Macaca mulatta: one gene and its partner. The protein of the gene in region 1 purifies or fractionates together with the protein of each later gene. This does not show direct contact. Links are inferred from orthologs where the notes say so. Each region holds a gene or a part of one and is shown in the gene's direction. Other genes may lie near its edges.

What was found. The genes of interacting proteins can lie anywhere in the genome.
Region 2: the proteins of NXF1 (region 1) and NXT2 purify together in Homo sapiens (co-immunoprecipitation; 5 studies listed by BioGRID and IntAct, counting the BioPlex papers as one, with this or other methods). This does not show direct contact. The link is inferred for Macaca mulatta from reciprocal best matches to the Homo sapiens genes NXF1 and NXT2.

What each region holds. Positions count from the first base shown.
Region 1 is NC_133419.1:11,249,892-11,255,434, forward strand, and holds the start of NXF1 (nuclear RNA export factor 1), read left to right. Parts: upstream 1-1,888; 5' UTR 1,889-1,974; coding exon 1,975-2,002; intron 2,003-3,345; coding exon 3,346-3,532; exon of another isoform or gene 3,533-3,563; intron 3,564-3,717; exon of another isoform or gene 3,718-3,752; coding exon 3,753-3,906; intron 3,907-5,543.
Region 2 is NC_133426.1:116,310,384-116,316,222, forward strand, and holds the start of NXT2 (NTF2-related export protein 2), read left to right. Parts: upstream 1-1,859; 5' UTR 1,860-1,885; coding exon 1,886-1,980; intron 1,981-2,607; exon of another isoform or gene 2,608-2,751; intron 2,752-2,942; coding exon 2,943-3,027; intron 3,028-3,203; exon of another isoform or gene 3,204-3,274; intron 3,275-4,043; coding exon 4,044-4,130; intron 4,131-5,839. UniProt on the Homo sapiens protein: Regulator of protein export for NES-containing proteins. Also plays a role in mRNA nuclear export.

The sequences.
Region 1 (5,543 bases):
TGACCCCCCACCCCTTGCCTCTGGCCACCCTGTCCTCCCCCCACCACCCTCAGGCCTATGAAACACACAGGGTTCTAGATTTGGACTCTGTGTGTGAAGTGACTGGAAGGGAACAGAGGCCAGCTGGGGGCCAGTGGGGTAGGTTGTCTCCACTAGGAGACTTTTATAAACCCTCTCCAGCCTCTCCCAAAGGAAACGTTGGCAGCAAAGGGAGATGATGCCTTTCCCCACCTTCCTGTGAGTGAAGAGAGGAAGCAGCCCCAGGGACCAATTTTCCCAATTGACCTCTTTCTTCCTCTTTCACCATGTGGGGCAGGGAACCCTGAGCCCTTCAGCTGCCTGCACAACCCCTGACATTGGCTGCTGGTGACTCTCAATCTGCCAAATGTGCTGCAGCCCGTTTTCTCCCAATTACAGCAAGACTGTCAGCCTCACTAGCCATGTCATCATTTCTGGGTGGGAGCGTCGAAGGGCCTAGGCAGCGAGTGGAGTGAGCCCACTGCCCAGTACCAGAACTGAAAGGGTTGGGCTAATGGCTGTGCCAGGTATCACTGCTGAGGCAGGCTATTTTGGGCTCTGACACACAGCTGCCTCTAGACAGGGGAGAACCAAGTGTTGCAACACTTGATTAGCATGGAAACTTCCTTTCACACAGAAGCAGGATCCCAGAGGGGGTCCCTGATTGGTGGCAGCTTCCAAGACCATCTCAAACAGTGTTTGGACCTGTTTCATCTGTATCCTCCAACTATTTGGCCGTAATTCTTCCTTGAGCTAAGCAAGGCAGAAGCTCTGCCTGCTGCCAGGAGTGGAAGGTGAAGAATTTGTTCCCAACTCCAGTTGAGGCTTTTGATTCCCTCAAAGCACTTCACCAAATCAAAGCCAGTCACAGAGAATGGAGGAAACACCTGCCCAAAATACCCACCGTCCAGAGAGATTAATGTGCTTTGTTCTTCCTGACCAAGACTCGCAACCACATTCTGAGGACGCTCCAGTGCCCCTGTCTCATACATTCCAAAGGAAGCTGAAGCTATAGAGACAACAATCAATCAGGGGCTGATGGTGGTGCTTTTGGGGGTCTAGGAGAGCCCAAGGCCCTGATATTTTAAAATGTCCTCCTCCTCGGCATCTCCAGCAAGTTGCCACTGCTGGTGAGCTTCACTGTCTGCCCCGTTGACACGATGGGTTTCTAACAGGGGACGCCATTGATGGAAGGTCTGTGAAGACAATGCTCGGCAAACCCCTGACAGATGTCGTCTCATTTGACTCAGCAACTCAGGGTGGGGTGGGGGAAATTCACAGAATAGAAATTCATTTATTTCACAAATACATGTTGAATTTTTACTATGTGCCAGGCATAGTACCTGCCGAGTCAAGCCCTCGAGGGAAAAAAAGCCTTTAGTCAACGTTCGAGCTCACATTCTAATTCTCAACTTCGTGATTTGTTAATCCATCTTATAGGCGAAGAAAGCGAGGCATAGACAAGGAGCCGAGCTGACACACTGGCTAGATGCGGGTAGGGGTCTGAGCCATCACTCCCACCCGGAGGCGCGGTCTCCATTCCTCGGAAGCCCTTGGTACGGCCCCGTTCCCCGCTGAGTTCTGGGCTGCAGCGGCAGCACTCTGCTCTAGCACTAACTCAAGCTGCCAGGGCAGCGTCAGCGGACAGATGAAAACATGCGGGGACCTGCTGGCTACCAGCCGGGGTTCCGCAAGCTCAGGTCTTGGGCGGGGCGCGGAGGGTCAGGCCCCGCCCCTCGCACGACGGCCTTAAGTGTGCGCACGCGCAGGGGGTCGCGCTTTCTCCGGGCGGCGACACCGCCTCCAGCCTGGGACGTCAGCGGCGCGCGACGTGCTTTGCTATATAAATGCGGTGGCGCCCGGCGTAGGGACACTTCGGTCCTGAGTGCTTGGGCGTTCGGTCGTTTGCCGGCGTAGCGGCCAGCGCTTGAGCCCGCCCTTGCTCTTCGCTGTGGCATGGCGGACGAGGGGAAGTCGTACAGCGGTCAGTGCTGGTCCTCGGGTCGGGAACCGGCTATCTGGGGCGCGGGTGGGCGGCGCCGGCCTAGGCCTCAGCCTCCGGGGCGTGAGGCCGCCAGGGGCCCGACGTCCGCGGGGAGCGGCGCGCGGGGGGTCGGGGGCACTCGAGGTGGATTACCGAGTTGTTGACTCCTGGATTCCTCCTGGAATCCTGGTGTTGGGGGACCTGCGGCTCGGAGCGGGTGGCTCGGGGGTAGGGGGACGGGATTCCTTTGAACTTTGTGGGTGGTTGATGCCTGTCAGTTCGGTTTGGCGGCCTGACTCTTCCTTTAATGTGAGTTAGTGCCCTACTCATGGGCTGCCCTGGTGCCCTATTTTTTACTGCGTCCAGTCGGTCTTGAACCCTCGGGCCTGGGCTTTGGCTTAATATTCGAGACTTACACATCAACTGGATGTTCCAGTCTGAACACTACACTGGGTGTTAGTTCTTTGTAGTAGTTAGGAGTGCATGGTGGAGGTTGAAACCGTGAATTTAAAACTCTCCTCTTCCACCCCTTTAAAGTGGAATAACAACAGTATTTCTTAAGAGTTGGGGGGGAAGTAGGGGGGAAAATGAGATCATTCCTATCAAGTGCCTGAAGCATAGTGGCCGGTACTGGAGAACAGTTCTCAATGAATGTTAGCTGCGCCTTCTGTGTTCTTTTTTCCTAGGGTCATTTGTTGAGATTCATTGTTTACAGAGTGCTCGGTATTAGGCAGATCTCTTTTGGGAGTTAGGGACCCTTTTTAAGACGCTAGTCCTGCACAGCATGAATCAGATCATATTCCTGGAGAGCATTCCAGGGTCCCTGGTTAAGCACCCTAGCCTGGCACTACCACTAGAGCCTGAGTCTAGAAATTGTCTCCTGAGTTAAAGGGCATTTCTGGCCAAGGAATCGAAGAGCTCCTCAGAAAACTTCAAAGTGGCAATTTGAGAACAAGGAGAATTTTTAGAGGATCCTTAAACTGATCATATTTGTAACTGGCATCTGTACTGTATAGACAAAGTATTGAGTGGCAGATTTCAGGTGGCTTTCAGAGGTCTGATTTGTGTTCACTTACACTTTGGGGTCTCACATTTATACATTCTGCTTCTAATTCCAGTTTCTACTTCATTTTTCAAAAGCCCTGCACAGATTTCCAATAACTTTTCCTTGATGCTGACCTCCCACAGAGAGAGTTCTTTCCTGTGGACAGGCAGCGGAGTTTGCATGGAGATGGCCTGTGTAGTTAGTATGTATCTCTTCCAGTAGTTCAGAGTAGAAACTATGATTGCCACACCAAGCCGGACCAGTTACTTCTAATTTGTGTTCCTGTTTCTAACTCCAGAACACGATGATGAACGCGTTAATTTCCCTCAAAGAAAGAAAAAAGGCCGGGGTCCCTTCCGGTGGAAATATGGTGAAGGAAACCGTAGGTCTGGAAGAGGCGGTTCTGGTATTCGGTCTTCCCGCCTGGAGGAAGATGATGGAGATGTGGCAATGAGTGATGCCCAGGATGGTCCCCGAGTACGATAGTAAGTGACCAGTTGGTCTGGTTTGAATTTAGTGGCTCATGAGATTATATGGCCCTTTTACTGTCCATGTCATTTTCCTTCCCACCTGTTATAGTGAGAAATGCCAGGACTAGCTTAGCGATTGAACAGTCTTAGTTTAGTCCCGCCAACACAGTGCAGGAAGGTCTTTGAGAAGACTTTCCTAGCATTTGTGGTCATTTTATCCTCTGTTTACCCACAGCAACCCCTATACCACCCGACCTAACCGTCGGGGTGATACTTGGCATGATCGAGATCGCATTCATGTTACTGTGCGGAGAGACAGAGCTCCTCCAGAGAGAGGAGGGGCTGGCACCAGCCAGGATGGGACCTCAAAGAACTGGTTCAAGATTACAGTGAGTACTTTGAGCAAGTAGATGGTACAGTAGAGATCGGAGGCCACGCTCAGAGTAGAGATGTTTAATTTTATTCCACAAAAATTATTCTTTTTTTTTTTTTCGAGACGGAGTCTCGCTCTGTCGCCTAGGCTGGAATGCAGTGGCCGGATCTCAGCTCACTGCAAGCTCCGCCTCCGGGGTTCACGCCATTCTCCTGCCTCAGCCTCCCGAGTAGCTGGGACTACAGGCACCTGCCACCACGCCCGGCTAGTTTTTTTATTTTTTAGTAGAGACGGGGTTTCACCGGGTTAGCCAGGATGGTCTGGATCTCCTGACCTCGTGATCCGCCCGTCTCGGCCTCCCAAAGTGCTGGGATTACAGGCTTGAGCCACCGCGCCCGGCCTTTTTTTTTTTTTTTTTTTAATGGAATCTTGCTCTGTCATCCAGGCTGGAGTGCGGTGGCGTGATCTCGGCTCACTGCATCCTCCGCCTCCTGGGTTCAAGCGATTCTTCTGCCTCAGCCTCCTGAGTAGCTGGGACTACAGACACCCACCACCACGCCCAGCTAATTTTTATATTTTTAGTAGAGACAAGGTTTCACTGTATTGGCCAAGCTGGTCTTGAACTGCTGACTTCGTGATCCGCCCGCCTTGGCCTCCCAAAGTGCTGGGATTATAGGCATGAGCCAGCGCGCCCAGCCCAAAAATTATTCTTGTTAGCTGATTACGCCATAGTCAAGTATCTGTCTCTTCTCCTAGGAATCAGTATCTTCCAACACCTTAGAGCAGGTTCAGAGAAGGGGTGGAAGAGAAATACGAAAACTGTGGTTGTGGAAGGAGTAATTCCTCTGGATGTCTTCATTTGGCTCAGGCTGAGTATGGGGCTTGGAGTCCATGAAGTTCTCTGAGGGACAGGCAAGGTGTAAATAATATCTTGAAACTTTTAGAATAAAAAAAATTGATTTTTTTTTTTTTTTTTTTGAGACGGAGTCTCGCTCTGTCGCCCAGGCTGGAGTGCAGTGGCGCAATCTCGGCTCACTGCAAGCTCCGCCTCCCGGGTTCACGCCATTCTCTGGCCTCAGCCTCCTGAGTAGCTGGGACTACAGGCGCCCGCCACTGCGCCCGGCTAATTTTTTCTATTTTTAGTAGAGACAGGGTTTCACCATGGTCTCAATCTGCTGACCTTGTGATCCGCCCGCCTCGGCCTTCCAAAGTGCTGGGATTACAGGCGTGAGCCACCGCGCCCGGCCGATTTTTTTTTTTGGAGGGATTATAAGCGTAAGTGGGCTGGGTACAGTGGCGCATGCCTGTAATGCCAGCAGTTTGAGAGGCCGAGGTGGAGGATCACTTGAGGCTGGGAGTTCAAGACCAGTCTGGGAAATACAGCAAGACCCCTTCTCTACAGGAAATTTTAAAATTAGCCAGACATGGTGGTGCATGCCTGTAGTCCTGGCTACTCCAGAAGACTGAGACAGGAGGATCGCTTGAGCCCAAGAGATGAAGGCTGCAGTGAGTTATGATCGCACCACTGCACTCTAGCCTGAGTGACAGAGTGAGGCCCTATTACTAAGAAAATATAGCAAGTGTTGGCCAGGTGTGGTGGCTCATGCCTGTAATCCCAGCACTTTGGGAGGCCGAGGCAGGTGGATCACCTGA
Region 2 (5,839 bases), on another chromosome or scaffold:
TTTCATATCTTTAAATTCACTGCTCTGACAACCAGAGCCCATCATTGGTTTCTATATTATCAGTTTACCCAGTCTCCTATCTTTGTAGCACAATGTAGCAATTTCCACTTTGTAGCACAAAATTCCGTGCAAAAATTCAGTGCAAAACTGGGACCCCCTCCACCTCTAACTCAACTGTGCCTTTCCAGTACTTCAACCCTCCCATATTTTTCAACACTATTTCCACACCAATAGCCACCCTCACAGCCATTAAAGAGGTCACAACAGTTGGGGTTCAGGGGACATGAAACAAGGGAAGGCTTCATAGGGAAGATCGCACCTGTCCGGGAGCTCGGCTCTTAAGACGCGAGTCTGCCGATGCTCCCGGCCAAATAAAAAAACCTCTTCCTTCTTTAATCCGGTGTCTGAGGAGTTTTGTCTGCGGCTCGTCCTGCTACATTGGTCCCTGAAGGACAGGTAGAAATGGAGGGAACCTTCCAAAAGAAGAATATATAAGTAAATGCATGAATAGCCAAGTGTCTAAAAGCAGACTTTGGGATTTGAAAGTTTGGGGGGGAAATCCCAGGCCCACTAGCTGTATCATCTTAACCAATTTACTTAACTTCTTTAAACTTAAGTTTAAATTTTAAAAAATCTAGATAATAATGTCTGCCTTTCTGGGGGTCTTGAGGATTGAATGAAATCATATAAAACACAATCTCTCAATCAAGAAAAACAATCACCAATAAAGCAGTAAACATCAGTCATTCTTGGCAACCAGTAGTAGTTAACTTTGCCAGTGTTGGTGAATTTGGGAGAATAGCCTGGGAAAATAAATTCAGATCAGACCAAGGTAGGTATTTAAAGATTATGAGAGTTTGGAAGAAAATAGGCAATAGAGTTATCAAAGTTTGTGTGGGAGGAGAGAATGAGAGGCGGAATGAGAAGGGGAAAGGGAGAGAAGTTCGGGGGGAGAGAGGGAGGAGAGAACGAGACGGGGAAAGTGAGAGAAGTGTGGGGGAGAAAGGGAGGGAGAGAGCCAAAAAGAGAGAGGGAGAAAAAGGAAAAGAGTTAGCCGGACCTGGTGGCTCGTGCCTGTAGTCCCAGCTACTCTACTCGGGAGGCTGAGGCAAGAGAATTGCTCGAACCCAGGCGGCGGAGGTTGGCAGTGAGCCAACTTCATGCCACGGCACTCCAGCCTGAGCCACAGAGCCAGACTCCGTCTCAAAAAAAAAAAAAAAAAAAAAAAAAGAAATAAAAAGAAAGGGAAGAGGGAGAAGGGTAGAAGGATTGCTATAGGGAATGGTCAGAACTAAGCAAGTTACTCAGTATTTCTTTGTAACTCATTGATGTTATGTTTATTGTCTAGCACTCTCATTACACTTTGAGCCTCATAAGAATACGAAACATGTCCATTTTATTCTCCACTATATATACAGAGCCTTGCACAATCCTTGGCACACAGTGACTACTTGATAAATATTTATTGAATGAATCATGATAAGGAGGAGAGGGAACCAAAAAAATAAAGATTCCGAGAATTCAAGATAGGCGACTGGGAGAATACAAAAGTTTGGAAGTGCAGAGGAAATAATGAGTTTAAATTTTGCACGTACAAGTTTAAGAAGCCTATAGTGCACTCGTGTTCATGTTTAGCAAAATTCATATGTGTAACTGGACCTCAGATAAGCGGTGCGGGCTTGGGATAGGTTGTTAAGATTCATTAGCATACGGGTAGCAATTTACATCACCCTGAAGAAGGGAGGCTTTAAAAGGGGGGATGCACCGGAAGTGACGCCAGTCAGAGGTTAGGTTAGCGGAAAACGGAAGCGGAGTGGCCGAGAAGCAGCTTCCGTTAGCACTACCTTAAAAGGAAAAGAGCCAGATAAAGAGAAAGGTTAAAAGTATGAGAAAGTGCAGAAGCCACTGGTCTCAGGGAGACAGAGAAAGACACCAAAGAAGAAGTCACTATTATGAGGGACCACACACCAGCCACTCAAGGTAAAACTACAACATCTAATTAATTTGCCATTTAAATCAGAAGTCGTTGGCGGCTTTGGGATGAGAGGTTTTTAAGGGGTGTTGGGGAGCAAAGCCAGATTGCCGTGATAGTTATATTGCTTGAGTTTGAATCTCAACTAGTCTGTTACCGTAGGCAGATTCACTCCATCTTAGCTGTAAAATGAAGATTATAAAATAATAGCAATTACCTCAGCATTGTTATAATAAGTGGATATATGTAAAACTGATTAGAAAAGCACCTTACATACAGTCAGCGCTTCACATTTTAGTTATTGTTAGAATACTTTGCAGAATAAATAGCCCTTAAAAGGTGGTGAATGGCACTGTGAACTTAATTTTTGTTGGTGTCTGCAAGACATTGTAAAATGCCAGAATGGGGAAACTAGATGAACTTTTCCTGTTGAATATGGCTAGGTTAAAATGAAACAGTAATTTTAGGCATACTGCCAAAACATAGTAATTCAGTGAGGGTGATCCTTCCAGAATGTTCCAGAATGCTAAATTGTTCACTATTCATGCACGCCTTTCCCCAAGCTCCGCCCATTTATCCTATAGGCTACGGAATAGGAGGTCTCGCATTTCGAATTGGTCTCCAGAGGACTTTGGCTCCGCCTCCTGGGGCAAAAAAAGTCCCTGTAATTGAACACTTTCATTTTTGCTTGTCCCCAGGCTTGTCGGTAGAAAACTAAGGGACTTTCCTTTTGAGTATCATGTTTACAAAAGCGAAGTGGTTTTTAAATTTTAAACTAAGTAAGTATCAAACAAGTAGATAAGGCGGATGGGAGGGATCTGCAGGAACTGAAGGGCGGTGGAACTTAAGGTTGGAACATCGGTGTGCTTTTAACGACGGACCGAGCTACTTCCGGGAGAGAATGGGAGGGTGGAAAATTCTGTGCGTTTGGCGGGTTTCGCTCTCTTCATAAGTATTGATCATTCCGCAGCTGTGGGGGCCGGACACGTGAGGAGGTAGTGACGCCGCCACTGCCGGAACACGCTGCTGCAGGCTCCCCGATGGCCATGTCTGTGGTGAGTGCTTGGGCTGTGGCAGGTCTGCTGGGCGCCGGACTCCAGTGGCTGATTGGAGGGACTCCGGGGCGGTCTGGTTGCTGCTCACGTGGATAGGTGACGAATCACGGCCCGGCTCTCTGTACTGCGGGGCGGGGCCCACGTTTTGCTGCCCGCCTTGCCGGCCCCAACCCCGCCTGTTTTGCTGTCGCTTTCTGGTCCCGGAAAGGACCCTGAGCTGCGAAATAGCGAGAGGCGGGGGTTTGGGGTTTGTTGTTTATGGCTTGCATTCTCTTTTTCTCGATTATCTTCCTCTCTAAAAATCACTTTCAGTTACCTGACAAACTGGCGATTCATTGTTCTTAATTCTGTAATAGACTGGGCCCCGTAAATGAATGAGAAGGAAGGTATTCCTTAATTCTCCGGCACGAACGCCAACAGCGTTGCTTTCTTCGGTTTCACGGTTCTTATGCAAACAGCAGTGAAAGTTCACGTAATGTGGGAAAGTTTCCTAAGTGGAGCTGCCAGTTTTTCAAGTAGTTGAACTACATTGGGGGGTGTGTGTGTGTGTGTGTGTGTGTGTTCCGTTCAACAACTTTGGAGTTTGGCCCTAACATCTCACTTGGAAAAGAGAAAACACTTGCCTAGCTTATTCAGTGGCAGTTTTCGCCGCTCGCTCTCCTTTTCTAAGGGTCAGGTGGTGTCATTTTCATTGCCGTGAATGTTTGTAAAATATTGAAAGTCTAAAGTACTTAGTTGCCAAGAAAAGATTATAAATTTATATGTAGAGACTGAAAAAGACTCAGATTCATTGAGAAGATTATGTCCTAAAGACATGCACTTAAAGTTAGTGAAAAATTTTAAAATTGCAAACTTTAGAGTCCAGCCTTTAAAATGTCTGAATTTATATGAAAGAATGTGGACTATATATAGAACTACATGGTGGTTGAAATAAATCATCAGCTTCTGTCAGTGGTTTTGTGTTTGTGAGGGGTTGAAACGGTTGGTAATCTATACTTCTGGAATTTTTCTTGTAGGATTTTAAAACTTATGTAGATCAGGCATGTAGAGCTGCTGAGGAGTTTGTCAATATTTACTATGAGACAATGGATAAAAGAAGACGGGTGAGTGTTATAGACTCTACTACTGTTTTTAGACTACTACTTGTTATTAAATACCAGGTCGTGTCTGGAGCCAGCGTTTCATCTGCCTTGCATAAGTGGTAACTGTGGACTTACCCTTTAAAAGCAAATTGCTCAGGGAAGGATTGGTATGGCATTCATGGGAACATGGGCTCTGGAATCATATCCCAGGTTTACCTTTACCTAGTTTTTTAACCTGGAGCAAGCTGTCATTTTCCCTCAACCTCATTTTCTTTTCAGGTTGATAAGTATGAATTAATTAAAATACCGCACTTAACATTGGGCCCAGCATATATTCACTTAAATATGTTTCTTTTCTTAGTTCCATCAGTTAACCAATATGGTTAAGGTAGTATTAGTGCTAATGGAGGGGTCGGTCATTACTGGGAATATTTCCTGATTCGCCCCTTTTATTTCATATATTTATAGGTAATTTCTGATTATGGTTCAGAAGTATAGCTTACACCCACAAAAAGTATGCATGTAGCATGGATAATATTAAGTCCTCAGCAGATCGAGATTTCATCAGCTTTTTCATTGCAACTTATCCCTGCACCGTATCTTTTAAGTAATTATGTCAGTATGTAGTCAAGTGAGTCTTGCCTAGGTCTCTTACCAGCATAGAACTGTGCTTTGGAGAACTACTTCTATCCTGCAGCTGCAAAAGTTAATACCCTATCTCTAAAAACCTATTTTTTGTATAAAACCCATTTATTAAACATGGGATTTTATATATATATATATATATATATATATATATATATATATATATATACTTTAAGTTCTGGGATACATGTGCAGAACGTGCAGATTTGTTACATAGGTATACAGGTGCCATGGTGGTTTGCTGCACCCATCAACCCGTCATCTACATTAGGTATTTCTCCTAATGCTATCCCTCCCCTAGCCCCCCACCCCCTGACAGGCCCGGGTGTGTGTGATACTTCCCTCCCTGTGTCCATGTGTTCTCATTGTTCAACTCCCACTTATGAGTGAAAACATGTGGTGTTTGGTTTTCTGTCTCTGTGTTAGTTTGCTGAGAATGATGGTTTCCAGCTTTATCCATGTCCCTGCAAAGGACATGAACTCATCCCTTTTTTTATGGCTGTATAGTAGTCCATGCTGTACATGTGCCACATTTTCTTTATCCAGTCTAACATTGATGGGCATTTGGGTTGGTTCCAAGTCTTTGCTATTGTGAATAGTGCTGAAATAAACGTATGTGTGCATGTGTCTTTATAGTAGAATGATTTATAATCCTTTGGGTATATACCCAGAAGTGGGATTGCTGGGTCAAATGGTATTTCTGGTTCTAGATCCTTGAGGAATTGCCACACTGTCTTCCACAATGGTTGAACTAATTTACACTCTCACCAACAGTGTAAAAGCATTTCTATTTCTCCACATCCTCTTCAGCACCTGTTGTTTCCTGAATTTTTAATGATCACCATTCTAATTGGCCTGAGATGGTATCTCATTGTGGTTTCGATTTGCATTTCTCTAATGACAAGTGATGAGGCGCTTTTTTCATGCTTGTTGGCCACATAAATGTCTTCTTTTGAACAGTGTCTGTTCACATCCTTCACCCACTTTTTGATGGGGTTTTTTCTTGTAAATTTATTTAAGTTCCTGTAGATTCTGAATATTAGACCTTTGTCAAATGGATAGATTGCAAAATTTTTCTCCCATTC